2 linked regions of the Styela clava genome follow. The protein of the gene in region 2 interacts with the protein of the main gene of each other region in a pairwise test. Links are inferred from orthologs where the notes say so. Each region holds a gene or a part of one and is shown on either strand. Other genes may lie near its edges. The genes, in order: deoxyribose-phosphate aldolase-like and aldehyde dehydrogenase family 16 member A1-like.

Region 1 (17,292 bases), on a different chromosome or scaffold from region 2:
TGATTACAAAATTTTGTTCCCAACAACTCAACTTGTGGGATGAAGAGTATATATACTAAAATAATTATCAATAATAAAATCTCGCCCCTCTTAATCGGAAAGACTTGCTGTTGTAATTTGAAAAATGTGAAATTTTACGTTATTTCGCCTATGCAAATTTCGACGGTATAGGGCATTTTCAGTAACGGAATGCACATGATTACAAAATTTTGTTCCCAACAACTCAACTTGTGGGATGAAGAGTATATATACTAAAATAATTATCAATAATAAAATCTCGCCCCTCTTAATCGGAAAGACATGCTGTTGTAATTTGAAAAATGTGAAATTTTACGTTATTTCGCCTATGCAAATTTCGACGGAATAGGGCATTTTCAGTAACGGAATGCACATGATTACAAAATTTTGTTCCCAACAACTCAACTTGTGGGATGAAGAGTATATATACTAAAATAATTATCAATAATAAAATCTCGCCCCTCTTAATCGGAAAGACATGCTGTTGTAATTTGAAAAATGTGAAATTTTACGATATTTCGCCTATACAAATTTCGACGGAATAGGGCATTTTCAGTAACGGAATGCACATAATTGCAAAATTTTGTTCCCAACAACTCAACTTGTGAGATAAAGAGTGTATATCTTATTATATTTTTCAATAATAAAATCTCGCCCCTCTTAATCGGAAAGACATGCTGTTGTAATTTGAAAAATGTGAAATTTTACGTTATTTCGCCTATGCAAATTTCGACGGAATAGGGCATTTTCAGTAACGGAATGCACATGATTACAAGATTTTGTTCTCAACAACTCAACTTGTGGGATGAAGAGTGTATATCTTAATATATTTTTCAATAATAAAATCTCGCCCCTCTTAATCGGAAAGACTTGCTGTTGTACTTTGAAAAATGTGAAATTTTACGTTATTTCGCCTATGCAAATTTCGACGGAATAGGGCATTTTCAGTAACGGAATGCACATAATTGCAAAATTTTGTTCCCAACAACTCAACTTGTGAGATAAAGAGTTTATACCTTATTATATTTTTCAATAATAAAATCTCGCCCCTCTTAATCGGAAAGACTTGCTGTTGTACTTTGAAAAATGTGAAATTTTACGTTATTTCGCCTATGCAAATTTCGACGGAATAGGGCATTTTCAGTAACGGAATGCACATGATTACAAGATTTTGTTCTCAACAACTCAACTTGTGGGATGAAGAGTGTATATCTTAATATATTTTTCAATAATAAAATCTCGCCCCTCTTAATCGGAAAGACTTGCTGTTGTACTTTGAAAAATGTGAAATTTTACGTTATTTCGCCTATGCAAATTTCGACGGAATAGGGCATTTTCAGTAACGGAATGCACATAATTGCAAAATTTTGTTCCCAACAACTCAACTTGTGAGATAAAGAGTTTATACCTTATTATATTTTTCAATAATAAAATCTCGCCCCTCTTAATCGGAAAGACATGCTGTTGTAATTTGAAAAATGTGAAATTTTACGTTATTTCGCCTGTGCAAATTTCGACGGAATAGGGCATTTTCAGTAACGGAATGCACATGATTACAAAATTTTGTTCCCAACAACTCAACTTGTGGGATGAAGAGTATATATACTAAAATAATTATCAATAATAAAATCTCGCCCCTCTTAATCGGAAAGACTTGCTGTTGTAATTTTAAAAATGTGAAATTTTACGTTATTTCGCCTATGCAAATTTCGACGAAATAGGGCATTTTCAGTAACGGAATACACATGATTTCAAAATTTTGTTCCCAACAACTCAACTTGTGGGATGAAGAGTGTATATCTTATTATATTTTTCAATAATAAAATCTCGCCCCTCTTAATCGGAAAGACTTGCTGTTGTAATTTGAAAAATGTGAAATTTTACGTTATTTCGCCTATGCAAATTTCGACGGAATAGGGCATTTTCAGTAACGGAATGCACATGATTACAAGATTTTGTTCCCAACAACTCAACTTGTGAGATAAAGAGTGTATACCTTATTATATTTTTCAATAATAAAATCTCGCCCCTCTTAATCGGAAAGACTTGCTGTTGTACTTTGAAAAATGTGAAATCTTACGTTATTTCGCCTATGCAAATTTCGACGGAATAGGGCATTTTCAGTAACGGAATGCACATGATTACAAGATTTTGTTCCCAACAACTCAACTTGTGAGATAAAGAGTGTATACCTTATTATATTTTTCAATAATAAAATCTCGCCCCTCTTAATCGGAAAGACTTGCTGTTGTAATTTGAAAAATGTGAAATTTTACGTTATTTCGCCCATATGCAAATTTCGACGGTATAGGGCATTTTAAGTAACGGAATGCACATGATTACAAAATTTTGTTCCCAACAACTCAACTTGTGGGATGAAGAGTATATATACTAAAATAATTATCAATAATAAAATCTCGCCCCTCTTAATCGGAAAGACTTGCTGTTGTAATTTGAAAAATGTGAAATTTTACGTTATTTCGCCTATGCAAATTTCGACGGTATAGGGCATTTTCAGTAACGGAATGCACATGATTACAAAATTTTGTTCCCAACAACTCAACTTGTGGGATGAAGAGTATATATACTAAAATAATTATCAATAATAAAATCTCGCCCCTCTTAATCGGAAAGACATGCTGTTGTAATTTGAAAAATGTGAAATTTTACGTTATTTCGCCTATGCAAATTTCGACGGAATAGGGCATTTTCAGTAACGGAATGCACATGATTACAAAATTTTGTTCCCAACAACTCAACTTGTGGGATGAAGAGTATATATACTAAAATAATTATCAATAATAAAATCTCGCCCCTCTTAATCGGAAAGACATGCTGTTGTAATTTGAAAAATGTGAAATTTTACGTTATTTCGCCTATACAAATTTCGACGGAATAGGGCATTTTCAGTAACGGAATGCACATAATTGCAAAATTTTGTTCCCAACAACTCAACTTGTGAGATAAAGAGTGTATATCTTATTATATTTTTCAATAATAAAATCTCGCCCCTCTTAATCGGAAAGACATGCTGTTGTAATTTGAAAAATGTGAAATTTTACGTTATTTCGCCTATGCAAATTTCGACGGAATAGGGCATTTTCAGTAACGGAATGCACATGATTACAAGATTTTGTTCTCAACAACTCAACTTGTGGGATGAAGAGTGTATATCTTAATATATTTTTCAATAATAAAATCTCGCCCCTCTTAATCGGAAAGACTTGCTGTTGTACTTTGAAAAATGTGAAATTTTACGTTATTTCGCCTATGCAAATTTCGACGGAATAGGGCATTTTCAGTAACGGAATGCACATAATTGCAAAATTTTGTTCCCAACAACTCAACTTGTGAGATAAAGAGTTTATACCTTATTATATTTTTCAATAATAAAATCTCGCCCCTCTTAATCGGAAAGACATGCTGTTGTAATTTGAAAAATGTGAAATTTTACGTTATTTCGCCTGTGCAAATTTCGACGGAATAGGGCATTTTCAGTAACGGAATGCACATGATTACAAAATTTTGTTCCCAACAACTCAACTTGTGGGATGAAGAGTATATATACTAAAATAATTATCAATAATAAAATCTCGCCCCTCTTAATCGGAAAGACTTGCTGTTGTAATTTTAAAAATGTGAAATTTTACGTTATTTCGCCTATGCAAATTTCGACGAAATAGGGCATTTTCAGTAACGGAATACACATGATTTCAAAATTTTGTTCCCAACAACTCAACTTGTGGGATGAAGAGTGTATATCTTATTATATTTTTCAATAATAAAATCTCGCCCCTCTTAATCGGAAAGACTTGCTGTTGTAATTTGAAAAATGTGAAATTTTACGTTATTTCGCCTATGCAAATTTCGACGGAATAGGGCATTTTCAGTAACGGAATGCACATGATTACAAGATTTTGTTCCCAACAACTCAACTTGTGAGATAAAGAGTGTATACCTTATTATATTTTTCAATAATAAAATCTCGCCCCTCTTAATCGGAAAGACTTGCTGTTGTACTTTGAAAAATGTGAAATCTTACGTTATTTCGCCTATGCAAATTTCGACGGAATAGGGCATTTTCAGTAACGGAATGCACATGATTACAAGATTTTGTTCCCAACAACTCAACTTGTGAGATAAAGAGTGTATACCTTATTATATTTTTCAATAATAAAATCTCGCCCCTCTTAATCGGAAAGACTTGCTGTTGTAATTTGAAAAATGTGAAATTTTACGTTATTTCGCCCATATGCAAATTTCGACGGTATAGGGCATTTTAAGTAACGGAATGCACATGATTACAAAATTTTGTTCCCAACAACTCAACTTGTGGGATGAAGAGTATATATACTAAAATAATTATCAATAATAAAATCTCGCCCCTCTTAATCGGAAAGACTTGCTGTTGTAATTTTAAAAACGTGAAATTTTACGTTATTTCGCCTATGCAAATTTCGACGAAATAGGGCATTTTCAGTAACGGAATACACATGATTTCAAAATTTTGTTCCCAACAACTCAACTTGTGGGATGAAGAGTGTATATCTTATTATATTTTTCAATAATAAAATCTCGTTCTCTTAATCGGAAAGACATGCTGTTGTAATTTGAAAAATGTGAAATTTTACGTTATTTCGCCTATGCAAATTTCGACGGAATAGGGCATTTTCAGTAACGGAATGCACATGATTACAAGATTTTGTTTCCAAAACTCAACTTGTGGGATGAAGAGTGTATATCTTATTATATTTTTCAATAATAAAATCTCGCCCCTCTTTATCGGAAAGACTTGCTGTTGTAATTTGAAAAATGTGAAAATTTACGTTGTTTTGCCTATGAAGATTTCGACGAATTGAGGAATTATGAGTACCGGAATGTACATAATTGCAAAATTTTGTTTCCAACAACTCAACTTGTGGTATGAAGAGTCTATATACTAAAATAATTATCAAAATTAATATCTCTCTCCTTTTAATCGGATAGATATCCTACTGCAGCCTGAAAGTTGTGAAATTTTACGTTTTTTTCGCCTGTGTCGATTTCGGTGAAATAGGGCATTTTCAGGAACAGAATACACATAGAAGCGAAATGTTTGTTTTTTTCAAATTACCCAAATGCGTGCCCCCCGCCCTCTCCTGTTTTGGAAGGTAAAAATGCATCTTTCTGTAGCTGCATAGCAATTTTTCGTAGCTTGAAACTGTTTTTAAACATCCAAGACTCTTGAAAACACTCCTGTTCCGGCTTTCGGTCGGATCAGCTAGCTCAGGGGTTCTCACACCTTTTTTCTGACAAGTACCTCCCAAGTCACGAAACAATCAACGCGAACCCCCGGTAATCAGACACCGAAGAAAGTTGTGATACACTGACTAGCAATTTGTTGCAACACCAATTTAATGACCATATGTAACTAAATCAAATCGTCTTGTTGATATTGTTGCCCTTGTCGCATGCTTAACTAATGAATTATTAAAATATCTCCCAGATTACAATAAGCATAATCACTTCTCCATTGCTCGCAGCACGCTGTCTTTAGAGATTTCACAGTTTGTACACAAAGCCTTGAATTTTCACATTGTTGCGTCAAAATCACGACAACGCAAGCTCAGGGAAAATCTACGTTTCAATTGGCGTTTAGTTTCAATGGGCACGCATTTTCCCATGATAGTAATAAAGGATATTAAAAAACAGCATCATACAAAAACTCGACTATCATCCAAGTATCCCTTGAGTCGCGAACCCCTACTAGCTATTTCCATCTAACAAATGAAATTTCAGGCCCCTTGAAAAATTTCGGTTACGCCCCTGCACACGTTATTGAAAACACAGAGAATAACAAATGTCATTTGGTTGATTTTTTCGCACGAATTTAAGATACGAGGATGTCTTATTATTACCTCATAAAATGCAAAATTTCAGACCTAGCAATATGTGTACATTAATAGTATTTAGTTGGCTTAAAATAGCGAAAGTCCCTACTACACTCAGACGATTAATTCATATTCTTAATTTACTGTGAAATACACTTAAATTTACTTATTATAGTGTTGAATTACTTATTTATTTATAAACCAAAGTCATTTATCCGTGTGGAAATGAAGACTCGCCCGCATTACGCACCACCGATCTCCGACAAGTACAAAAGAGAGATTTAACGCATTACTGCGTAAAATTAGAAGAAGGCGTGCTACTAGCTTCACAGTGGTCTTTACAGTTGCACAAGCCGATGGTAGTCGTCGCATTGACCATAGTTAACTTAATATAGTTGGCTCACGCTTTTTTCGACTTTTTTTTTTTTTTTTTTTTTAAATGGATCCACAATGTGGATTATTCAATATGTAAATAATAAATAAATGAAATATAAATAAAGATATATTGTGTACCGTAAGTTAGACATATCTCTCGTTACGCTTGAGTGATGCGTCATGGTATTCTCTCAACGCAGCTATCTGGCTTTTTTAATTTATCGTCGACTGAAATACCGCCCGACATTCGACCAGGCGTGTGCCGCGCTTGGGCGATAGGAACGGATTTATCAGCGGCACGAAATTCAAGGTATATGTATTTTATTGGGAGCGCAAAATAAATGTAACAAAACGCACTGTTTTGCGTTATAACTTCGTATTTCGAAAACCGGGTGTAGTGGAAAGCAAAATTTGACCTAAATTAATCGCAAATGATGTTTTATCATCTAACGTCGGGTACTCATCATTTTCCGGAAGAACTAGAAAGTCATTTAATTTAACATCAAGAATGTTTCACTATTTCAATAAATTGAGATTGTTGCAATCGGAAAAACGCCTGAAAGAGGGCAGGCAGTCGGCACCAATAATAAAATGGCGCGATAACGCCGTCTTCGCGTTCTGAATATACAAGCTGAGATAACGATATTTGATGTCTGCCGCAAACGCGTTTGCAGGCACTTTGCGAGAAAACACAAGTGTAATCGCGAGAGAATAAATTCGAAATACAAAAATTGACATACGGAGCCGAAGAGGCGGAGTTCTGGGGATTCAAATCGTCCCTCCCTACCTGGGAAAACTGGATTTCTACTTTTGTGTTATAATCCTGGTATAAATATTCAATTACTATCCAATAAATGCAATCACAGAACACAGAATTACTCTGCTCCTACTCCACTTTGATAACCTATTGTACCGACGCAAAGATGACTGGCCGATGCCACGACCCCCTACTTTATCCTAATGCCTCAGTATATCTTTTCATTTATTTCAACCAACAAAACCATTCCAAATACACAAATAAATTCAAACATTCAAACAGGCTCGGCGGTGTGGCTCAACGGGCTAAGCGTTAGGAATTCTCCCGCCACCGCACCTCTAATTACTCTGTGGGTTCGCAGGTTCGAATCCCATGTAGGGATGGTTATGTGCGAGAGGATTGCTGCGAAATTTGAAAAATCGGCCCTTCCGAAACATGCCCTTTCTACTGATCACAGCATTGATTGGGATAACAGCAGGATATTGGAACATGAAATTCACTACAGAAAAAGACTATTTCTCGAATCTTATCATATCAACGAAGAGAAAAATTCAATGAACGATAAAGAAACTACATTGTTCCCGCATGTATATAAATCATTGTTTAGATAGTCGCGTAATTGTTTGAACTTGCGCTTATTCACTAGGATCTATTATCATATTGTCCCCTTTTTTCAGTTTTTCACGCCGTTTAATTTTTACTATCTTTTTTTATTTTTCTACTCTATATATGTACGACAGTGTACTCTTTATATCATGCCCTGATGAAGTTTTCTGAATAGAAATTCGAAACGTCGGCAAATTATATCGTTTTGCTATACACCGGTTGTGCGTTATTTATCTTTGACATGAATATACCTACTGGCAATCATGCGCTATTTGTTAACTTTATATTCATAACTATTATACATGTGTCCATCAGCCCTTTTACGAAGTATATTGTTGATGCTGGATATTTTTTGCTCTTTATAACCAACAAGAGGCCTATGCTCAAATATATGGACACAAAATCAATAACGAAATGTTTTACCATCATTTCCCCGAGAAAAATCATACGGTTTTCGTGTACCACGTGTCTCATGGGAAATACAAATGTGTGCTGTCCCATCCCAGCAAGCCTGCTATACTCTAGTCTATATATGTATATTTATTGACTTCAGTAAACATTTGTAATTTGGTAATATCTCACATTCATAATGCGGTTCGATATCAGTATATAGGTTCCGTTCTCATACGCGCAATTGCGACCAACAATATTTTAAGAAGTATTTTTATCATTCTTGGTACTACTATAAATATCTCGTTAGCAACACCCGTTTCATGTAATTTAATTTTTAGCGCAAATCAATTATGTTTCATTGTACAAAATTGAAACCTGTCATATAAAACATATTACATATTTTATTGATTTTGAATTTCGTGAATATATTATTTATCAAGTATTTATAGTTAGATCTACTACATGGTTTGCCTTCTTTTTTATTTTGCAGTGGAGCATTGTTGCATATGTACAATGTTTTTCTACTTTAATCTCAAATTCGAAAATACGGAGCGATATGATTCTTTAACGGCTTTTTGTGAAAACATTCTTGACGTGTTTATTTCCAAGAATTCAATACATACAATTAGGAATTTTATCAATGAATTGCAATGGAACATTGGATTTTTTTACTCAATTGACTGGCTGACAGCGATTATAGGAAGCTTTTAAATTTTGTTATACTCTTGTCAGAAGTAATAAGTGCAAGATTGTGTATTCAGATTTTTTTTACAATTTTGACGAAAATGAAAAGTCTAACTATAAGCTTGTTATCAGTCATACAGGTGGGTTGTTTTCATTTACAATATAATTTTATCAGGATAGTGTATTGTTTATTACAAACAGTGTATTGTTTATTACTTTTTTTCAATAACACAGCTTAAAGTAACTTTCCACACTCACACCTCACTTTTCTCTCTTGATCTTACAGACAAAGTCGACTATGTATATTATGTTACTACATCCGATTGGTGACGATCCTGTGACAATGACAGCACAGAGAGAGACGTTGTAGAGAGAAATCTTTGTTTCTTCTGAAATATTTGATGATTCAGTTGTGCCTTTGTCAACAACACCTCGTTTATCATTATGTTTTTGCCAGATTCAATTTCATTCTGTATGCAAATTCTGATTTTGACAACAGGTGTTGTAGACTCAACGCATAACCGATTTTTTTTAAGTTCAGTTGATTATTTATCAAAGTTCATTGTATATAATGAAAATGGGTGCCTTTAATAATAGTATTATTCAAATTTCAATTTTGTTTTAGATTTTACTGATTTATACTTTACACAACTGAGCCTATAAGCAATTCAAATAGGAATTTATGTTTGTTTAGGGTCATGTGTTGAACGTGCATTTACCACGTGAAACTGCAGTTTGTTATTTCATATTTATTTATTCATTCATTTATTTTTTACCCTTTTTTATCATTTTACTTGTGTCACGTGTTAGTAGCCAGCCATAGATACAGTGGGAATAACCTTTGTGCAGATATAGCAGCATTAGATTTAAGGTGAAGACCAAAAGCTATGTTTTGTACGGTAACATCGCAAGAGACTAGGACGACAAGGCGCCAATATTATAGTAAACTCTCTCAATATGGCAATTATTAAGTTAAATGCTCAATGTAAATAAGTAACCTGAATACTTCAACCTGCACTTTATCTGATGACTTTGAGAAATCTAATTCAATGTAATAACTCCAATGTATTAGCGTATGGTAAGCATTCTGGAAACTTTTAGGACGCAAATTTTTTCTTTCGTCTCTTGGTGAATTAGAATAACGACTCCCACACAAAACAATTTGAGAGCCAACTTAGGAATAAAGCGATGAGTTTTAAAGTATTCCGAAAGCGAAAATAACATGTTATAAATACTTATATGGAGAAAATGTCAGGTGGAGAGAAAGAACTCTTTCAATATATATCCGTGTAAATACCATTATTACATTCGTCATGAATTGTAATAAATGTACATGATTAAGCTGACGGGATGCCGGCACAGAATTTAAAATAAAGCGCAAATGTGCGTCATGTAGAATCTACAGATTCTCACATATATATTTCAAGTAGCTATGTGAATTGCTACGAAAAAATATTTTTGTAGTGCCCATAGCGAACAGTTCAATACGTGCTTGTACAGTGCCTCTTTTATATATATATCAGACTTGTGAATAAACTGACTACGACGACACATTGAATTTTTAAATAGCGCCCATTTTCTTAGTTCATAATTTATATATATATATAAATATATGTAAATAATTATCACCTACAAATTTTCTTGGATTGATTGAATTGGTTGCCAGCGCATTTACAGCCAAATTTAGTGCCTATACATATAATTATAGATTGTATCAACATATATATATATATATATATATATATATATATATCGACAGAGTAAAGTATTTTTTTTCACTGCTCATTTCCATCGTATATATATGAACTATAGCGAGAGTGTTAGCAGATACATTAACGATTGTCTAAATTCATTGATTTATCAATATTCATAAACGAGTTCCCGGAAGATCCGAAAGCTTGCTTCTAATTAATTACCGACCCTCCATTAGCGTTGCTCCGAACGTCTTCATATGGTATGACGCAAGAATGTCCTCCTAACAAATTCATTCCAATTTCTTTTTCAACCAAACAGCATACGTATAAGAAACATAGATCGAAAGTTAAAATTATTAACCATTTTTTCGAAAGCCAATCATTTTTGAAGAATAGAAAATGAAGAGAAAACTAACTCACGGTTATGTTCAAGTCCCATAATTTTTGAAGTGGTTCATCAATGCTATCCTGATGTCTAGCATCTGTCATAACAACGACAATGCCCGGAGCCCGAGCCTATTACCGTTAGATTCTGAGAGTATTTTAGTTTGTACATAATTCAAAGCTTTCCCAATCCGCGTACCTGTCATATTTCTTTGCAATGAATAACTAGCTTCACAAACATTAATTGCTATTTTGCGCTAATATACTTTTGCATACATGGGCGTATACCAAATTGAATAGATTTATAAAAACCATAATGCATAAATTGTGGCCCCGCTATTTATAACATTTATAAAGGCGATGTCGATGCTTAAGTGTACTTATGAAAGTTTTCCTGGATCACGTAACAGCTAGTCGGTTATTGCTTCCTTCATCATCTAGATTCTAGAACTATATGCTACAATGAAATCGACCTAGAGTATGATCGAGAGGGATTCAAAAAAGCTTCATTCAAAGAGTTCATCATATATATATGACTGAGCTGTCTTATCATCTTTTCGATTCCCAGGATAAACACAGAAACCCTACCCTATTCCTACCCTTCTCAATCTTCCACGACAAAGGAAGACATTGGGAAAGATTTGTAATACCTTTTGTTCAGTTGCTTCATCCTTAACTTTAGGTCAGCAGCACTGCTCAATAAATGAAGACGATCTTCTCTAGTATAGTCTGCTAGTGAAAGCAAACTTCTTCCTTTCATCGAGATGTCCTGCTGTCGACATATCTGAGCATGATTTGTAGATGCAACACTGTGGGCATGAAAAGGTAAACAATAAACTAACTCTGTTTTTTATTTGTATAAAAAAGTAGTTTGGGTTGATTTAAATATGTATTTCCTACCTTTTTGATGATGTACCGGTAGATTGTTTTCGAATATGAGCAACACATCAGAGTGTATTACATCGAGGCAGTTTTCGATGAATCCACATTCTATGTAGTATGTTTTTACCAAGTTTCTCATATATATGAATATTATTTCTGTACTTTATCCAATTGCGTAAGGAATGAGAAAGTTATATTTGTATATATATATATATATAAATACTAATATAGACAGTATTTCTACATTTTATAAGCCGATAATAAAGGACGTAACCATTCAACGGTAGGTGCATCGTGTGCCCTCACTTTTCTCACACCTTTCTCTTCAAACTAGTCGTTTACTTCTTCCGATAACACTCACATATTTTGCTATCTCATATCCGGGCCTACGTTGCCAAAGCTACAAGATTGTTTAGCGTATTTTAAGTATGGTGAAGAAATAATGAACTACTGGGCAGTTCACCGCATTGACGTAAATTACTTAAAATGTAGGTATCAATTACAAATGAATTAAAAGTTAGTCATTCGTGGTAAATGCCTAAAATTGTAGCTTTCAACAGAAATGACAATTCATATTCAAACAATGTTTACTCATTCTAATATTGAGATTCTCAAAGGATAGGCTTATATAAATTTCGTTACAAATTTAAATGACAATTTCTGCCATATCTTTCCGGTTTCGGCAATAATGGATAACTATACCATACTCCAAGTTTGAAGCAAAATCGATAGCAAACCTGAGAGAAAACAGGTGCGACAACCAAACTAATTGCGACTTCCTGGCATACTGCTTTTAGGAAGCAATGTTTTTAAAAACACGTGCGGAGGCACTTTCTCAGTTATGAAGAGTTTTGAATCTTACACCAAATGTAGGTATAGAGAAAGACTTTGGCACGTTTTAGTGAGTTTTTTTTTTGTGATTTTCGCATGTTTTAGCTTGATAAATGAGTCAAATGACAAATATTGATAGAGTTGGTGCCCAATCGTCGTCGCCCAATTTCGTGGGACTACGTTATTTAGCCTATTTGCGGGAATGAGGAACATCATTGGATATGGTCGACACCGCGAGCTGGCTATTTAATCATAGTCCATCATTAAAAACGTTCACGCTTCCCCTAAATGCTTTGCTTGTAAGCCACTGCCCACCTGTTGAATATATTTGTAAAAATATAGTCTGCAAAACGCTCTGCCCGGAAACAGAGCTCAATGACCTGTAAACATTGAAATCACTCGAGTGTGACTAGATTGACGGGTACTCGCATCCGAGACCCAAAAACCCGATTTTGCAAAAAATAAACCTCCTCCTTTGGCCTGATCATTTTTGTGGGTTTTGTAGACATCGTGACAGACCTTCTTGCCAAGTTTGGCACGGATTAGTTCCCTGTAAAATGTTCGTTTGTTCCCGAAACCCCGAATATACTTTCGTATCAAGTTTCGTCGTGCGTAACGACATCTGACTCCGACTGCGCTTTCGAACTGAAGTGCTCTCGGTTGCCTAATCACAAATGAGTTTCTCGTGTAACAGACGATATTAGACCATGCACATGAAAATATGAGACTACTCATTTAATTATTTTTATACTCGTAATAGATGACACACATGGAAAAATAATAAATTGACAGTATACATACTGAAAAGTATTGTTCAGGAATTGTTCAGAACTAAAATCTCATCGTCTACAAAATTATATTTTGCGAAGTAATTGCAATTTCAAAAATAGAATAGACTATTTTATTGAGGTCAAAGTGTAACCTGAAAAGAGATCTAATAGCGATATTTTGAAAGTTGTTCATAGTGGAGTTTTGAATACCACATGACAAAATTTCCATAATTTCATAAATTGGATTATCGTTTTTCGTATCGTTTTTTTCGGCCATCACTTTTGATCTATTTGATGAGAACCAATGATGTCAATACCAATCACTTGGTATTTCAGAGAAGCATTAAATTCGCAAATAAATGGGGTTAGAAAACTAATTATCGCATATCGAAGTTACTATAGGGTTTCATCGATTATCTCAATTTTGTGCGTTCGATGTCGTTTTTTGTTGTATTCAAATGTATTTGTCTATAATAAGTGCATTACACGTGCTTTACATCACTTTTAGGCAAAAGAACTAGAAAATATCGATTCATGATGTTGAGGGTCTTGAAATCGCCATAATTATTAAGTTGTTTTGCGATAATTTATTGTATTAACAATTGAAAGTATTTATATGAGCAAGTTAAAACTACACGTTGTATTTTGGTACCTCCCACCATTAAATCGAACCATCACCTGAATAATTACCCGTTCTTTGAAATAAAATATATTCTTTCAAATATAGTTACCATTTCCAGAAAACTTTTACCATTACCAGAAACTTTTCCTAATAAATGCAATATTTCGTGTTCTGATGACCGTAAGTTGCATAATTATATATTTAAAACGGGAGAACAGAGGGAACGGGGGTGGAAAACGAAATAACTCGGCATCGTCAGGAGCAATTCAGACTTTCCGTACATAGACGTGTCCTAATTCCTGCGTTGCCACAAGTCTCAGCAACAAATTGTACCCCATTTGTTTAATTAGGAATGCTGTCGCTAAAAGAATAACATGAGCTTTTAAATATGCCAGAGTTCCAGTTCGTTAGAAAAATTTCAAGAGCTAAGTAGATCTTTTTAATCTGAATTTCAATTTCAGGCAATATATATATCTGAGTGGGATGCGTCCAAATTAGTCCACACTCCACAGTGTATAGGCCATTAACTGATTTGCTTATTTAATAATCGAAAAATAGTTACGCCAGTTAATGTAATTAATATTATGTGTTTACAACAATGCGGAAAAATCCTAGTAAAAGTACACAGTAATCGAGAATAAATATCACGATGACCGCTATATATCACGCACCACACTTTTTCTAGTATTTCGTTGTCAGCGATTCAAAGTCCAGAAACGTTATGAAGGTATTTCGAACAATTTTTACAAAATAAATAAAAATAACCTATATTCATTTGCCAAAATGGGCATGGTTTCAGAATCCAGTTTCATTTTTAAGATAAGGGAAAATCATTATGTAGATCAAAAATTGGTGCGCGTGTTTCGTGCCGAAATTTTAAAGAATTTAAAAACCAATTGAAAGATGCATTATCAGAAACTTAGAAAAGAGGGGCGATATTACATATTAGAAAATAACCTGAGTATCTTTAAGAGAGAATGTAAGAGTAAATTTATTTCTCATTTACTTTTAGTTTCACACCAATCGCTTATTCACTTCCTCATAAAGCATAAGGTACATGTATAGGTACATAAATTTTGAGTTTGAGAATTAGATACAGATGTTAAAAAAAGACATTCCTTGTCGATCACCAACATATTTTACCAGGCTCGCACCGATTTCGATTGTAGTTTTGTTGGCATACTCAGAATCAACACTCACTTAGAGGCCAGCTTACAATGCTATATCACTTATATTCATGAATGGTAATAGATAAACTTTTATAGTGCACAAGAGGGGTTTGGCTGATAAATAACTTTCCAATCATACCAACGGTTTGTGGATATTTGGCCAATATGTCTTTTTTCCGATATTTGCTGAACAACTTCTTTTTTCAGATCAACCATATGATTTTTCTTGCGATATTTACTAGTTTTATTCTCACCGAATTCTTCATTCTCCAAATACCATCTTTCCTTCCACATGTTTTTGAATGACTCCGAATTATCTTATATACTGTACAATGAAGCACATATTTCTTCAATCATTTATTGAACCGCTTTAACGTCTTTCATTTATTAAACCCTCAAAATGGAAGCAAAGCGCTTTGTTTTTTGTCTGTTTCCTTGTTAACATCGTAATTCACCACATCTGCGATTAGGAAAACCACGCTAACGTTATTTGATCTAAAATGCATCTTCAGCAAAAAAATGATTTTGTTGATTTGGTTTGGGAAAATATAATAATGTACCGGTATGAATGTTTGGCGCTCCAGAAATATGTGAACCAAGATGGCGGACACCGGTACGTAGTATGTGTACCAGGTTAGGATTAGGCCATAATTGTATTCTTTTTTTCCTTAGTTCTATTACAAGGTCGGGGAATAGCCAAGTGAGTCCCGTAGTATTTGTTCCTGAAATTATATATGACGTAATAGGTCCAGTCTGCAAGTTTGCACAATTAGGGTGAAATTTACCATAACAGTACTCCAAGTTTCAGATATGTTTCCAGCGAATTATTGGAATACAATACGATAGCGAAAAAAATTTCCTGTTAATCCTCAAAATCTTGTCAAAAGATAACCGAGTCTAAAAAGAGAAATCATGATATATATTTGTAGCCCCAACTTAGCAAAAACAACTACAAGATAGATAGCTGGGCCTAGAAACTGTCGACAAGAACCAGAATCACAAAAAGTTTCACACTTTTTGCTCCTAAAGAAAATAAAGTCCAAACTATTTGTGCGACAGCAAAATGTGGCCCAAATATTACCGTCGCCCAGCGTAAATAACCCCGTGTTGTCGATCAAATCGATAAAATAGGATCACATATATATAAATTGCATATTTGCTATTTTACAACCGACCGTTATGAATATTTTCGATGGGTGCATTGGTTTCAACATAATTTTGATATTTAGAATACTGAGTCACCACGTGCTATTTTTGTCAGGTTTTGGCGTGCTCGTTTCAAACTAATTCCATAAGAGGAGAAAGCTGAAGTTTTAATCGCAGTGCATGTTATGAATTTTCCTCAAAATCGCAATAATATATGTAAAGTTCGACTGGTTTCTATTATAGTAGCACAAGATACTATTTACCTCTGGAAATAGGAAATCTGATAACAATGATTAGCGTATTGCAAACCATGTCGAGTCAATCAGTACATTTGTGATCACGACCATTCCAATAAATTGTATTCGAAATTCAAGTAATGTGAAAATTGTGGTAAAGTGTACGAATTATATCAAAAAATGCTAAAACATCATCAATTTACAACTTTACTCGAAGAATATAAATCAGTATACATAGCCATATTTTTTTTTTATTCAGTTGTTAATCTTGGGGATAATACAGGGCTTGGCATTCAGTTCCCGAGATAAATATAGCGAAGAGTTAATTTACGTCTGCTACTCGTGTATGATGATTAGGGTGCTCGCCGCACATGAAGTTTGTGCATTCCTTCTATATGCAATCAGAGCAAAGTGTGTGTGTTTGTATTAGCAAATTTACTGAAAGCAAAGTTACGCGCATCACTCAAAAATATAGAACAATGATCTCTGAGCAAAGTTACAAGAGACTAATGAAGTTGAGCGAACTTCTGATACATTTTTGCACTTTTTAGCAAGGTTTCTAGTGCTTTTTGACGGTTTTTTTTATTGTTTTTACACGTTTTAACAAGATAATCACGGCGTAGAAATAAGAATTGTAATTGGTTAGGACTGCAACACAAAATAAAAACTTCATCACAAAACTTAGATTTTGAAATGTTTGTTTGTCGAATTCAAAATTTACCGCAATTGTAAAATTTGAATTATTCGTTTGCTGAATATGAAAATCTTATAAAACTTCGAATTCTAAACCTTCGTTTACCGAATATGAGATATAATCTTCACAGCTGTTTGCAAGTTACCTAAATGTTTCGTTCC
Region 2 (17,285 bases):
ATTTGAGTGCATTGCACCTGAGGATTGTACAAAGGTAAAAAGCACAAACTTTTAATGTTTATTTCTCTGTTTATGACTAGTTTCAGACAAAAAAAATTATGGCAGAAGTATTTTTTTCCAGTTTTGTGTAACTCATAACTGATAACTGATTCTTTTGGCTCAAAATGTTTAAGTCTTGCACCAATCAGTATTCACGAATGCGCAACCACCATAATTCTATATTTTTTCAGCAGCACTTAACACTTCTATAGTAATCTGCAATCAGTCTCTTTACTTCTGAGTGAGTAGGCATGACCTTGCTTCGAGCAAATTTTCTTAAAAATAACACAGTCTCATTTTTTTATTTCAATAAGAATAGTTGTACTGTACAAAACCATTATAAATTTGAGTGAATGAAGTGTTCTGTGCAAAAATTCCTGACTGTGGTTTCCTTACTGTGGTACATGGTGTGAAAACGAATAAAATTTGATGGGGTACCCATTAATATGATACTGAAAGGCGTCGTTAATGAGAAGTTATATTCACGTTCAAAATTTTTCAATATGATAATTTTTCATGTCCTTTCTTTGATTTTGAAATGAGAAGTATACTTTCTATTCATATTTGGGTAATCCCAAAGTATGAGAACCAAGATGGCCGACACTGAAACGTAGTATGTGTAGCAGGTTAGGAGTCTAGGACCATAATTTTATCCCACCTTCCATCATTTTAGTTTCATTACGAGTTCGGGGACTAGCCAAGTGACTCCCGTAGTAGTATTTGTACCTGAAATTATCGCCTAACCCTAACCTGCCATCTTGGTTCACATTCTTCGAGTGTAGCCATATTTTTATAGAGAATGCAAAAGGGAAAATTCTCTATATCTGCTCACCCCTGTTGATCCAGTGAAAGCAACTTTATCAACATCATCATGAGTTGCCAACATTGATCCAAATGCACCATTACCAGTTACAACATTAAAGACACCTGGATTGATGGAAATACTCTTAAGGCCGGTATACACGACAGCATTATAACTCACCGCACCGCGACTCTTCGCACTGTGCGGTATGCGCTAATCGTGACGTCAGACCTGTCTTCCGTGCGTACCGATACCGTACCCTATGGGTCCATAATTTAATATTCAATGTTCAGTTAAAATCTGGTAAAAAAATCGAATAGGTGTAAGCTGAACGATTTGGAATAACCGTCAACGATAAGAACACACTTGACAACACAAAGTATCCCGCATATCATACCGTTACCGTACCAATGTACCGTTATCATACCGGTACTAGTGATATTACATACCGCACGGTAACCGGTAGCCCTAGTGGGACTAAACTTCTATCGTTATAAAAGCAACTGGAAAACGATAAATTAGCACAAAACTTTCGCTTGTCACATGAAATACAACCAGTTGTCTCAGAAAACCACCAGAACGAGCAGAACAAGACTGTCAGTACGGTGAACTGCGGTCAGAAAACGCTACTCAAGCGTTCGCCAACTCAGATAAACGCAGCGCAACGAAACGCAGTCCACCGCAGACGAATAACATAAAACAAACCAAAAAAATACGCTGCGGTGAGTTCGCACACTGTCGTGTATCCCGGCCTTTAAGCACATAGATCTAGAACTCAAAGTATTGCCATTTTATTTGAATTCTTTGAAATATATAAGAAAAGTTTGTAAGTTCGAAACCCATTGTTAGTATTAGGGCTGAAGAGTTGTTAGTAAGAAGAATTTTATCCAATTCTATGTTTTTATTAAAATATCCTAATCCATCTTTGGGATCCAAATTAACATACATTTCAACTCAACTGCCGTTTAGTCTTGAAATGTTGAAAATATTATCGATTCTGACCTAGCTTCTGGATGCAGAATTATCAATTATTACATGTTTAGACATTTGGGATATAATAAACCAGATGGAAAGAAAAACCAAATATTCAGCTTAATCAAATTCTGATCCATTTCTTCTGGCATTTCAATTCAAGTTAGATGTGGATTGGTTAATTTTGAAAATTATAGTTCGGAAATTAAATCAAGATGCATCGACTCGAATATGGGGAAGTACGTCCTTATGACACAGCGAGGTGTCAAACAGCCATCCCACACACAAAAATATACACCAAGGGTTTTGAACCTGCAAGTCTACATGGAATAACCAGCAATGCCACTGAAAGCATGTCCCTAACACTTATTTGCCTATTTTGACCAAATACACAGCAAAGCGATATCTGTTAGATCATTCTTACCAGGAGGTAGTCCAGCTTCATGGCAAATCTCTGCCAATAATAAAGCAGACAATCTTGTGAAAGTAGCTGGCTTCAGTACAACAGTGTTTCCCATTGCAAGTGCTGGGCAAACCTGGGAAAACAAGATAAAATAAGCATTTCATTTATGTCCATGGTTAAAAATGCAAAATCTGAATGCCAGTCAAAACTCAACATTGCTTATATTGCATTCAATAACTCTATTAAAACTTTGCCGAAACACTTAAATCACACTGAATACGCAAATTTTTTATTTTAGGCACATGACCAAGCAAGCTTCATTTCATAAATCAAAATTAAACACATTTTGTAAAATAACGGTTACGAATTTTATAATCAAAATGGAGCCAGATTTTGAATGAATCTGAGCTCAAACCATAATCATGTTACTAATAGACTCTACTTGATATTTACATGTGAATGCGGTATTTCACAATAATATCACATTTAGAAAAAACCTAAAAACTATTCAAAAAGTCAACTATTCAATACCAACTAGAATAAAATGCCCAATATGGACGTTTCAACATAAATCAGTTTATTTAGTTTGCAAGGTCGTACAAGAACGCTATTGGAATGATTATGCAAACATGAACACCATGTAAAGAAAACATTCATATAATAAATACTCCTTTACAAGAGCACAATGTTGACTTTGCATCAGTTAAACGTTGTTACCTTGATAGTATATACATTTCTGATATATAGGGTAATATACAAGATACAACATAAATTTGAAGATATAAGCTAAGCCTTTAACAAAATTATTATATATTCTGTGAATGACTTCAAATTTTAAAATTATTCTTTGAAATCTACTTCAATAGAATTCTCCAAATAAATTAAACATTTGCGGAAAATATACCGTAAATTATTTTTCTGCTTAGTACGGTAAATAGCAGTTTGTTAACAAATTTGTGCAAGTTTAATGATGGGCTTATAGGGATATTTCTCCCCTAGAAGTGGGCAAATCTCCAAAGCAGGAAACAATTATTCAATTTGAATTATCTTTGGCGAATATGCAACTAATTAAACAACAATATTAAAAAATGATTTTAAAAAACCAATATTATAATTGGATGTAAATTATAAGTCCAATTTACCTTCCATGTGAGCAACATCAGTGGAAAGTTCCAAGGAACAATCGCTCCTATAACACCTGCAAAAGAATAAAATGAAAGAATAGCAGGTTTGAAAGTGAACAAAAATGGACACTTCATTTCTATATTCCAAGTTCGAATATTCTTGTATGATTCCATGGATTACAATTCAAGTGTAATAATTTCGCAATTAGTAACTTAATCATGCAAAAATGTCTAATGCTGTTCAAATTTCTAAATTGATATGAATTTCATACCATAATCCCTCAAATCACAAGTACTTCGCCATAACACACACTCCTAATATTACCACTCCCAGCCCAAAGTATGTCATTACACTTTTTTCCATCAAAGGTGAGGTCTTTCAATGCTCGATTATGTTACCAATAACAGTGTGTACTTTTAATAATCACTTCATTGAAAACTTCCTTATTTGGTTAATTTTTTGATCATCTTTACTATTAACTTACCCACAGACTTCCACCCCCTCATTTCAGTGTCCATCAGTTGAGCCCATCCAGCATGATGATAGAAATGTCTTGCAACAAGTGGAATGTCGCAATCTCTTGTTTCTCTGATTGATTTGCCATTATCTAACGATTCCATCACCGCTATCAAACGATGGTGTTTTTGTACATTTCTTGCAATTGCATACAAGTGCCTAGAAATAGTTTAGACAGAAATTATATCTAGATTGAAAAAAATATCACTCTTATTCTCCCTATATTGGAAGTCCCATTGTAAAAATCTATAAAGAATTGTACCTATTCTATTTACACCTCATTACTGTTACAAAATGTATATCTCCCTTCAAATATTTTGCAGCATTTTTAAAATTGTTAACCTTTTTACCATATATGTATATAACATTTCTGGCTTTTAGAAGAGATTTATTGCACATTGGAGTAGGTGGTGGGCATATTGTTTGTACACAGCAGTCAAATTCGACACCCCCTTGGGCATGTGCCCTCATACTTTTAAAATAAAAAATGATTTGTCTCATTTTTAAGTATCTGGATATACCCACTCACGGTATGTACAATAGTATGGGTATCTCACTCAGCGATAATTAATCTTAATCAATATAAAAAAAATATAATATAAGCTAAATATAAATTATGATTGGCGAGAACACACATAGTGAGGGTTTTATTTATTTAAGCTTACCTCAGACGCTCAGAGTCTAACTATGTGCAACAAAAATTATGATTGAATATATTATTATACTATGGATAATATGGCCAAATTAATCCTAGATGATAAAAAAATACCTTGCTCTGACGTGAGGTTCTAGCTGACTCCATGATTTGAAAGCTTCTCTTGCACAGCCAACTGCATAGTCCACATCTTCTTGAGCACCCTGATATAAACAAACATTACATTAATAATAATACATATCAAAAAATGATTTCATGTTCGTGTGCAAAACTACAACGAGTGAGTACAAACAACAAAAAAGTATGTAAAAATGTGTTAGGAATCAAGTACAAGCATAGAGATAAAAAAAAAAAGGGTGCTCCCGAAGTATGCAAACCAAGATGGCGGCCATCGGAACGTAACATGGGCAACAGATTAGGGTTAGGCGAAAATTTTTTTCCAATTTTCCTTATTTTAGTCCTATTATCAGTTCGAAGACTAGCCAAGAGCCTCCCGTAGTATTTGTACCTAAAATTATGGCCTAACCCTAACCCAGTACACATATTACATTCCGATGTCCGCCATCTTGGTTCGCATACTTCGGGAGCCCCTAAAAAAGAGGTTATGGTCAGTCTCATGAGTCATGACTATAAGCCTTCTGGAAGCATTTCCTCTTCCCCAACATATGATATAGGAGGTCTATCAATTTTTACTTGCAAAGCTATGATTCAGATTTCACATCTATTCCCTATATTTGAATATTCAGTATTGCATTTAGCGGTTCTGCATTCTGGAGGCTCTATTTGTATGTCCATTTTATTGATTTTATTGGTTGAGGTGGCAAAGTGAAAATGAGCTCAATATTTTAGGACTTCATTTCCATATTTATGATATCTTGCGTAACATGGTCTGTTGTCTGGTTATTCTAGTTACTTGGCTCAGAAAAAAAATTCACTTGATGGTTGAGCAAGCCATAATGTACAGCTATTAAGTGAACCATCATTTAATAACTTTGAGAAATATAACATTCCTCTTGTATATGTTTATACTATGCAGGATTGAAATCTGCGAACCCTGGTTTGTTCTCAGTGATGTGCCAAACGATGATATAGAGTGATGATTAGAATCTTTGGTTGTATGCACATTACATGTGGAGAGAATGATTTGAACAAAAAATGAACCACTATTCAAATACTGCTATTAACCTGATCATCACGAACTGACGCATGCGGGACGTGCGCGAATGCTGTGTGTAAACCATGAGGTCTGGAATGTTTGTTATGGTCTTGCTTGAAAGGAAATCTTATTCCCCACACAACAATATAAGAATAAACCTTATATGAGATTTAGAAGTGATAAAATTTCGCTTACATATCACGCGTGTACTTCCCGCTGCGATATAAAAACGTCGCACAACAAGAAAATGATTCCATAAACCTTGGCGTTGCGCGCTAACCAATAACAAAAGCTAGTATGATAAGGTCTTATTTTGAAGGTCATTTTATATGCTACATAACATAGGAGAGTGGACATCTCACAACGTCAGGAAGTTATAAAAATATCGAGTCGTTTGATCGCAGCTGCCTCACCGAAAAAAAGTTAGTTCACATAGGCGTTTTATCTCGCAAATTCTCCTTGTCTCACGATTATAAGCTTTTATGAATCATAATAAATGTTTTATTATGACTCACAAAAGCTTTCAACGCGATAAAGCACAAACGAACAACCGATCGATCTATCAAGCTTAGCCTGGCCTGATTCGATGTGGTGACTTCTCAAACGGAAAATTTCCAAAACGCTTGAACGACGCGCGCTATCGAAAAGCGTTTAGTATCATATGAAAGAGAAAACCAATGTGCAGTCAACTGTATAGTCACATTTCAGCTTTACAATAGCTATAGACATCCAACAGCTGATAGAATGAGAGAGTGTAAATATTTTTGTTATTTTTTGACGTTATGAGAGACCTCTTGAAACAGGTGTTTTAGTTTACGGTCCTCCAGTGACATCTAGCGTATAGTACTCTAAAATACCTTTCCAATGGTATATAATTATTGTATATTGGGTAAATTTTGGGGGTCGTATGACATGAATAAAAATGGGTATACAAAATTGGGCTCGGTTAGGAATCTCGAACAGGTTAAGAAAACACTATCAAAGCAAAGAGCCATTTTCCCAACCCCCTGCTGTATTCTGTGTCAATCATTGTTAGTTCATTAATTATAAACAGGTAAGATGAATTATGGTTGTGCTTTTAGTGTTTCCCGATTCTAATCAGCGCCCTTGGCAGTGGTTTTTCGCATAAACACACGCTCCGTTCGGATCACCTGGTACTCAACATACCATATGTTATTTAAAAAGGAATAGCGTTTAGTAAACTTGGGCCAAAGTAAACACCTGGATAGTTGACGCAAGTTTCTCTCCGGTAGCTGGACAGCATGTATCATATACTTTTCTTGCCTCTGGTTTATACCATTCACCGTTAATAAAATGCCCAAGATCGTTATCACGCTGTTTCAACCAGGCCTGTTACAAGTAAAAAAGAAATTGTCAATAACAAAAAAAAGAGTTGAATAAAACTACTATAACTTCTGAACTTGAAGTGCTGATTTCAGGATTTGGTGTGAATTAAGGCGTGAACTCCCCTAATGTGGCGACAGTTCAGCAATCCTATTGCACATAATTATCTTGCTGATGACTGGACAACTTGTTGGCTGCTATAAATAGGTAAAAGACCCATATTGCAGTATCGTTTAAAACATTGTCGTAAAAGAATGTAAAAAGACAGAAAGACGGGCAACTCAGCAGTCCTCCCGGCAGTCTAGTTGTCTCTCAGTCTCTGACACAATTATGTTTGGCATTATTTAGTTATTTGAATACTAAGACTGTAAGAGCATTCATTTTCACACCACACAGCCACATTCTGACATTTGTGTTTCGAGTTACCGTATTTCTGAGTATGTTTCATTTTGGTGAAAAATAAACGACTGACTGACTGACTATTTCTGTAATTCAGTCTGTCAGTATTTATGATGATACCTGAAGTTCATAATTTATACTCAGCACAAGGTAACTTAACTATGCTTTGAATTGCCCGTGTTTACCAACTGAGGCAAAATTCCTACTGCTGTACTGCCCAATGAATAGTGCTTTAGTCTCAGAGTACACTACAGCACTAGCAGACTCGTGACCTATGCCTAGCCTACTGCAGGATATTCAGATATTGCAGTTAGTATACATTCATTTTAAAAATAGTTGCTTGAAAAATCACCTTAGCAACATTATCAGCCTCTGGTGCAGGTCCATATTCCATGCTATCGAATAATTCTTTTACTGAATTTCCCGCTTTCACAGACGCAGCCATTTTGCAGAGAAACTTCACGTTTTGCAAACTGGTTATTTGCTCCGCTGCAAATGATAATATTACAATCGCTAGATGACGCTAAGAAAATGGAAGTGCACCGAAAAGGATGGTTTTCTTTTCGGATTGCACAAAAACTTCGAATCCCGGCTGATTGGCGTAAATTAGAAAAAATAAGAAGAGTCGAAAGTCGATAATACGGCTTTGTCATATGTGAAGACTCTCAAGTTCAGGTCGGACATAGTGATTAAATGGGATTTTCACATTTATCCACGAAATACGGCTCAATAAAACGGAAAACCATGGCATCTCGTCCGTTTTCAGTATAGCTCATATGAGAATAATCAACCAGTTTAGCAATCCAGATGCTCGGTTCTGGAATGATATCATGGTCATCGTTTCATATGCACGTGAGATCGAGTCATTGATCAGTTGGAAATAAAGGGAAGCATATATATACCTCTATCAATTTGAATATTTATTGGTCATAAAAAAATTTTCAGCAAAACATCACATAACATTTTACTGTACCTAAAATTTGGAAAATGATTCCTACCAACACCATATATATATATACCTGTAATTAGGCAGTTAAATTGAGAAATCTAAATATAAAAACCCACAGCCAACCTGGATTTTAAATTATAAAAAGGTAATATTTATGAGCCACGGAATTAAAAAAAAGAAATAGCCTACATATGGCTTGGCAATTTGGTATTTATAAGCTAAAATCGAGCAGTCAGTCAGGGTTAGTTTTTTGCGTTGTTATAAGTTCAGAGCTGGCGGGTAATAGCTTTTTTATTATTATCATGGACAGTATGAATTAAACACGTTTTAGATCTACAAACCAAACATCATCGAGTTGTTGCAGCTTCTCCGAGTTATGAGCTATAAAAAGAGTACACATATGATATAAAAGAGTGGTTTTATCGTTAGTTTACTCAGTGAACCACCCTCGGTTGTATGAGAAATTAAACTTTGATTCCTTTTGTTTGATATCCGTCAAGTTACGGCATTCGTGTTTATAATTCGTTTCTTCAGTTCTGCAATCTTTTCTTATAGCTATTTTGGCAAGGTCGAAATTTGTTTGCTCTTTTTATAGTGTAAAGTGTTTCCGCTGTTTTAATATCAATCTGACGGATATAAGCTCAAAATTGAAATGTAGCCGTGTTTTGAATTATTTGGCAATATGCTTATAATTTAAAATATGAGAAGATTTAGGTATGCTAACCTGAGTTAAATGTTTGGTTTATTAATTATTTGTATTTAATCATCATTCTGTTCTTGGAGTTAGAATAGACTTGTGTCAAAACAATTGATAAAAAGCCAAGTTTAATGATGGCTAAGAATGTTTATTCTTAATACACACATAATTTCGTCAAGTAACACTAATACTTTGTTGTACTGAACAGAAGTTAGAAGACAATGTTTTATGGTGACAAATCGACATGTGTGATGTGGTGGTGCTGGGAAGAATACACAGAAAATATTCTTGAAACTACAAATAGATATTGGAAAGGCATAAAACTTCTTCTCAGAATGGGTATGCTGGCCCTTGCAGTGTTTTCTATTGTTTGCGACAGTTGGTTGGTGACAGAAAGTGGATCGGCAAGACAGGGATTATTTGAAGAGTGCAAAATCAAAAGTTCTTATAATAATTGCTTTGCCCAAGGAAGTTGCTCTCTTTGTTTTACAAACAGCACTGAAGAACGCTGCAAAAAACTGGGTTGGTGGTATATATATTTTTTACGTGAATTTGCTACTAACTTATAAATATCACATCGAGTGTTTATTGTATATATATCTTCCATGGAATAAACATGAAGACATTCTGAGCGTTGCAAAAAATGTGGAATGACCACTGAGTTCTTGTTTAATCCTCGCGTAACTTGACAAATATAAACTAACCCATTTAGATTCAAAAAACAATCGTTGTATATATAATCAAATAAAGTATTCTATTTATTCTATTTCAATTTTTCATGGCAGACAAAGAGATTGATGAAGTAGTTACAATATGTTTCATCGCTGTGTCGATAGTCGCAAGAGTTGCCTATTTTCTTTCAATACTGATTAATATATGTGTTAATGAAACTGAAAAACAATCTGATGAACACAAAGATTTGGAACAATTTCACAATAATGTCAATCGATTGGCTGGTGAGATACCTTATAGTCCTAACATTAGTGTTTAGCGAAATCTACATAGCCGATCATCTCAAAGACTGCACGTAGGCATATACTTGCGAATAATGTAACTAAATATTCCATTTAAAAAAATCTTCGTTTAAGTATTTCATACAAAGACGTAGAAGAAACACGTTTTTTTTCAATAGTTGGTAGCGCAGCAACCTTTCATAAACAATTGATGTTTGCGAGTGAATAATTTATCTTGATACGAAATTTGAAATGCAACTTTGTGTTTAGATACTTGTGATCTCATTGCTGTCGTTGTTTATTTCTGTTTGAATGTGCCTCCTAGTGGATTGGGGAAGTTATGTGCTTATTTCGGAATCCCATTTTACTACACTCTTGCTCGTGCTCTACCTGTTATTATAGCAATCCTTTCGTCAAACGCTCCAATTTTCAATGACTGGAAAACAATAAAGTGGTTAATTGTAACGGCAGCAGGCAAACTTCAAAAATGCAGCTGTAAAGAACAACAACAAACAGCGCCTAACGAACCCGAACAAAGATGCGCAAAGACTTGCTGTAACAAAACCGAGCGTCACTCAAATCAAAAATACTTTGTTTTGTGGAACCTGACAAATGTTTTAGTTTCGATTTACTGTTTGCTATGCAACACTTAGGTAGCTGGCGAAAACGATATAGCGAGAAAGGGTTTATTACACGAATGTCGTCTCACGGACTTGGGACCCCTTACTCCTACTGATATTGGATGTGCCGAATATAACTCAACGAAACCTCCGCAGTGCCAATTCCTCTGGAGAAAAAGTGAGTGCTAGTAAAGGCTGGGCATTTCAAATCGGATTTTAAATTATTCGAATCGGTTCAAAGCAAAATTTCGAATCACCGCCGTCTTGTTTTTTCTTTCCGCCAATGGTCGAGGTGAATTTCCCAATTTCTTTCTATCGAAGCTTTGTTTTTGTCGACGCAATTCTGACATTTGGCTGACATTTCCTGTAGTGATTAATTGATAAAAACGTGTTTTTGGACACGTAGTGGACATAACGATCGTTTCAATATTATGTTGTTGTTGTTGTTCTTGTTCTTTGACACGTTTTTAAAAAGTCGCTTTTCTCTTCGAATACTGGACCAATTGCTTTGAAATTTTCAGTGGTTAAAGATTAATTTTTTCGCTAGAAGGCTATTACTTTTATTTATTTCAAAATTTTGCGTGAATTCTATGAAATTTGATATTTCGTCTAAAATTTTGCTGTATTATTTTTTATCCATGGGAACACGGATTTTAGTCAGTGTCATGACTGGCTGTACGTTTTGATTCTGCAAAATTCTTGCTACTGGAAATTCAGAACTTTTTTGAGGGTACCGGTAGCGGCAAAGGTACCGGTAAGGACTGATTCGCTCTGGTCTGACGTGTCCATATATTTGTGCGTAGCTCTCTTGTTATTGTGTCTGAACATTCAGCAATCGATCTGAGTGATGTATTCTAGGTTTTCAGTACTTCGTGCGTTGACAGCACCGATTAAAATATAAAAAAGTAATATAATCATATAATTACATATTTCCATTGACCCCCAAGTATTCGAGATTCGATTCGAAAAAAGTATTCGATTCAATTCTGAAATAATGAGGTATTCGAAAATGCTGGTGAAAGTATCGCTTTAAATAAATATTATGATCACCTAGCCAAGACAGCGATATACAAATCATAATATATTTGAGATAAAAATAACGAAATGAGAAGGCATGAAGAAGAAGTATCGCTATCAAAATTCTGTTTTACCCAAATGTGCACGTCACGTAGTAAAACTCTTGAACTTAAGATTTTTATTTCAATTCATGATTCAACGCGCTTATATTAATTAAACACACTTGACGCCTAACATACCATTCGTTGTTTGAATTTTTTTATATTTTGCAGACTTCAATGGTGCAGAAATATTCACAATATTCGTACTAGTCGTTGCGATTTTTTGTCGATTTGCTCTGTCTTTCTATTTTTATTGTACGCGTTATGACATTGACAACATACCAAACGCACCACAAGAATCTATATTCTATCAGAGATGTTTTGAAGACGTCAATGGTGAGATTCTATTTCGTTATATTTTTATAATCTCCTTTTAAACAATACTAGAAAAAAACGCTTCAATGTTCATTCTTACATGAAACTAGAAATTTTAATTAATTAATACTCAACCTGATTGACCATTTTGTAAAGGTATTTGAACTGTTGATTGAGGCTATAATAACTAACTATAACTCTTGATGTATATATTGGCCACTAAACGAATCCTTTTATTTGACATTCAAACCGCAGTAATGAACCTAGAGTTGTTTTTTAGCGCTCCTTGGTTTAATTGCAATAATTTGGTATGTGGCAACCGAAATCCCTCTTCCTGGAAATCTTTGTTCGCACTACTCTTCGGGTTTTCATCTCTTCATTGCAACCTCCTTCATTGGATGCACATTTGCTCGTCTACTAATGATTCTCGCGTGTTTTGTTGTGTTGATCGTGCTTTTTGTCTTTTTACCATCAATTGTGTGTATTACGGCAATTCTATTTTGGTTTCGCAAAATGTATTCATCAATTACCAAAAGACGTCGCCAGGACAGCAGCACCATTTCACTGATTAACAACGACATAGACGAAGACTAAAAAAAATACAAAACCTCAGATATACCATAACTCTTTATTTTGTAAATATACCAATATATATATATATATATATATTGTATATATAATATTTTTGATTATAATTTAGAATGTTGATTTTATATATAATAATATAATAATTATATATTATTTCGAATGTCTCCTTGGATATTTATAGTGATTCAATATTCGAATTCTGGCTATGGTTAAGCAAACGACACAATGAGTAATGGACTAATTTCATCGCGATAAAGGCGCCCTCAGCGGGACATGCCTTCGATTATTCTAAATGTTCATAAACCAAAAAAAAGTCGTTCCTCTGGCTGTGATTTGGATTGTGGATCGCATGATAGTCTAAATATAACTTTTATAGATCACAATGACGCGTAGATAACAATAGCTCGTGCTTGCTAGCAATTCTAAAATAGAAAAGGCTATCGTAAGTGGTCTTAACACGAGCCCATCGCACTAAAAAATTTAAATTGCCCAAAAGATCGAATACAATGGCTGTCATTAAGGATGCTAAGTATCACTACTTACAAGTATTTGATTCTTATCCGATTCCTAAATTTTCAATTCCGATTCTCGATTCTGAATCCCGATTCCTTGATATATCTTTCCGAGAAAACATGCCCACCTAAGCAATACCATATGAAATCAAACAAGAGAGCTAAGTTCCAATATATGAACGGACAAGAATGCCAAAACTAAGTAGTATGGGTATCCAATCTGTCCCAGGAGACAAAATCGCATAAAAATAGAATCCATCAGAACCCACAGAGATTTTAGAAATGAGGAAACGTAAATATCTTCTATAGCGAAGTATATATATATACGAGTATATATATATATAGTAAAGTTTGCGGCATCGTAGAGCGTAGCAACTCAACATAGCAGTAAAGCAGTTTATACATACCGTATATCTGAAGGAATTGCCGCAAAACGTTACACATTGTTTGCAATCCAAGTGTTAACCTCGAGAATCGATTTCAATGCATCGGAGTCGATTGTGCGAAGAATCGAATCCGGACACGATTCCGCCATCACAACAGGGTGTAATAAATATTACCGAAATTTTCCCGTGATTTCAAAATAATTGCAGTTTCCTTATATATTGTTATATATCCATGGGTGCTAGCTCGGAGCGAAAAATAACAGCCGTATGTAAAATAATACCTAAATAGTTCTGAAATGAATTCAATTCCTCGTATTTGAATAAAAGATAAGTGCAAAATTTAACTTGATGCTGCTGATACCAACAATGCATAATTTCTAGACATTTGTGATCGCTGAACTTTCTAAAACGCACCAGATCAGATTTCTACGCAATTTTAAAAGCAGTTTTTACATAAACGCGATAATTTTCATAAGATAGAACTGGAGACAAAGTATAATTAATATATTAATTTGGAATATATACATAATGAAAAACCAAGATATTTCCGATTGCATAAGGATACTTATGAGAGAGAGATAAAAATAAAACAAACTGAACAAAAATCTAGAAAGGATGATGAAATTTAAATAATATAAATGAATTTAACAAAAAATGGCGGCAGTAAAAGATGATTGAAATATTTAGAAAAGTCAATGAATATTTTAAAAGCGTCCTAAATAGCGCTTCTAAATCAAAATTTAGTTAAAAAGGCCAATTTTATGACATGCAAACGACAGTTTATGAATATTGATGCGTTGAATAAAGGTAATAACGTCGTTATAATAACGCGGTAAATTTCATAGAAATGCGGACTATGCCCCATTCGTGGATGACCATTGATGACCACATGAAACGTAAATGTCAAACGAACTCAATATTCTTTAACAATTCACATTATTCAACAATACATAGGACAAAAGCAAATTTTATGTTTATACTATTTGTCATAGAATTAAAGGCAAAAAACTTTTTTAACACAACTTCGAAGGATTTTAAGAATCGACTTTTACTTCAAAGATAAATTTTGTTAACCTAATTTTCTGACTCCAACCTTCGAAATTTTATTAACCGGGTCCCGAAAATTTTGATACTTCGGACATTAACTTGAACCTTTATCTCAAAATTATGCTTCGGAAAAAGAATGCTGATAATCTGTCATAATAATATAGTGTAGAGAAACTTGTCCACTCAATTATTCGTTGCAAATACTTAGCTGTTGGAAGATGCCACAGCCGCTCAATGGTCAGGCGATACTTCTGCAATACTCTTGCATATATTTATCGTTTGAGGAATTCAAAAAAGCGAAGCGATGCGGGGTAATTAAAGGTTCGACGACACGCTTGTTGCTAAGGCTTAGTGTGAGCTGCAACTGTCGAGCTCAACACAATCGGCAGATGAATGTATCGCCTGGCTAGATAAACTAGGAAATATTGGTCTATCTATGCAGCAAATGTGGTTAGGGTTATAAATGTTCAATTCACTCCTCTAATTATAATTGGAAATATATGATAAAATTTTAATTGTAAATCATAAGATAGTCTATATGTAATTTTTTCTAGATCATAATGATTCGTAGATGACACCCTACACCGCATCGGCACCGCATTTTAATATAAAAGTTGTAAATCACAAGATAGTCTATACGTAATTTTTATAGATCATAATGATTCGTAGATGACACTCTGCACCGGCACCGCATTTTAATATAAAAGTGCTCTCTGGATAGAGATAATCTATGAACATGGATAATTGAGTTTTTGGAAACAGTTATCATCAAACGGGTACGGAAATTTTTCATGATTTAAAGACATACGTAATCATTAATTTCTATAACTAAAACTAGAGACAAGTTATATTCATATACTATATATAGCGATAAATGCTCTATTAATCTTGAAAACATATATCAACAAAAAATCAATATATTTTTGATTGCATGAAGATAGATAATGAAAATACAAATTAAAAAAAGTTAATATAGCAGTGGAGATAAGATTTAAAAACAGTTTGCAAAAATAAAAAAACGAGCAAAGCATGATTGAAAGAATTATCATTATTGAAGAATTGAGCTAGGCAATTTTGAGAAGATTACTAATAGACTCTTCGTCTCTAAGCGATTCAAGAGTCTTGCTGCAACATAGATACATTTCTGTATACGTGTGCAGCAAGACTCTTGAATCGCTTAGAATAGTTATCCTCACTCTTGCTACAGCATACTTTCATTATATGCATACAGTATCCCGACGCATAGGAGAAAGGATAAGTAGTTATTCACGCAGAAGCCCAATCATTTACCTATTGACTTGCTATTTGCGAACTTTCGTATAAAAGACGAGTTTGGATTTATATAGATTATTATAGATTATATGCAGCAGATTTAAAATTAATTTAAGGAATTTTATAACTTGTCAGCATTCGTTTATAATATTTTATAAGTGCATCTCAAATAACATTTTTAGCTTGACATAACTTGAAAATATTAACGATAAATATACATAGAGAAAATACAATAGTAGGCATAAAGATTAAGAATAAAAAGTTTATTAAGAGCATTCATGTCTTGAATATGCATAGATCAGAAAAGTCTTCCCAATGTTCCACAATATAATTCGTTATCTGTTCTACTTGCACAATGGAAGCATTACAAATTAGAATTTAATGTTTCTTTTTCATTTTGCTTTTCTTATTGCACTTATATTTTCATACAAGCTTTCACTGCCAGCCGAATCAGATACTTCTTGTGCACGATAGGTTATATATTCATAAAGATTGAATGAATCAATATATTCCAGCATAATATCGTAGCAGAGTTTATAATCATCCTAGGAAAAAAATGTAAATACTCAAGTGTAATACATATTTTGATATTTCTAAGTATGTTGGTTCATTTATGGAGTGCCTATTTTCGGTATTTTTATATTGTATTTATGTTAATGAGCGCCGATTTGGAAGGAAAATTAATATTTACATGCCGTGACATTTTTGAGTTCGACAGTTGCCGTATTTTATTTTTTTAGTCTTGAACTAAATGGACACACACTAGGTACGATAAAACCATTCTGCCTCGACTTTTCACGTCGGGAATTGCATTTAATCTACGAATATTACAAATATAATAAGGTATATAATTAGGTATATTCTACAGTTACATGGAAAACGAGATTAGCACTCTCCTTGCTTTTCAAATTTGTAACATAAATTTTATCATCAATATTTTTTTCCAAACGCACCGCAGTGATTTTATTGAATATTGTACGTTTGAGTTACAGGTGAAACATCAATAAATATTTGTACAGTGTACCTCTGTTAGAATCATTCCGGGTCGGCAATCTCGCAAGTCTTTCACAGTTTGGAAAACATTGATTCGTTTTTCTACTTTGAATCTTTCACACAAATTGTATATTGCGCAAAATACGCCAGTGCGTCCTGCTCCATCACTATAGAAATAAATTAAAAGTTGATACAATACTATGTAAACGTATTTTTATTGACATTAGTTTAATATAAATAAACACATATGTGTATATATAATTAACAAATAAATCTAACAAATGCCTTGAATTAAATACTCCCGAATAGCGCGTTTCCCAATAACTCGACGAAACTTCACCAAAGACATTGCACCTGTTTACTTTTGCACTTACCGACATTTGCATCCATAGATTTCAGCCCCCGCATATAGATTGCACCCACG

The links.
Region 1: the proteins of aldehyde dehydrogenase family 16 member A1-like (region 2) and deoxyribose-phosphate aldolase-like interact in binary tests that used the Homo sapiens proteins (3 or more experiments, as listed by UniProt). The link is inferred for Styela clava from reciprocal best matches to the Homo sapiens genes ALDH16A1 and DERA.

Annotation. Positions count from the first base shown.
Region 1 is NC_135258.1:16,505,469-16,522,760, forward strand, and holds the start of deoxyribose-phosphate aldolase-like, read right to left. Parts: upstream 6,524-17,292; 5' UTR 6,402-6,523; intron 6,283-6,401; exon of another isoform or gene 6,225-6,282; intron 1-6,224. UniProt on the Homo sapiens protein: Catalyzes a reversible aldol reaction between acetaldehyde and D-glyceraldehyde 3-phosphate to generate 2-deoxy-D-ribose 5-phosphate. Participates in stress granule (SG) assembly.
Region 2 is NC_135251.1:10,977,192-10,994,476, forward strand, and holds the start of aldehyde dehydrogenase family 16 member A1-like, read right to left. Parts: upstream 7,925-17,285; 5' UTR 7,857-7,924; coding exon 7,764-7,856; intron 7,019-7,763; coding exon 6,890-7,018; intron 4,716-6,889; coding exon 4,627-4,715; intron 4,017-4,626; coding exon 3,826-4,016; intron 3,415-3,825; coding exon 3,359-3,414; intron 2,350-3,358; coding exon 2,238-2,349; intron 967-2,237; coding exon 872-966; intron 1-871. Other genes in the region: uncharacterized protein LOC120336119, read left to right, coding at 9,309-9,579, 9,843-10,013, 10,281-10,663; uncharacterized protein LOC120336141, read right to left, coding at 16,261-16,413, 16,893-17,028.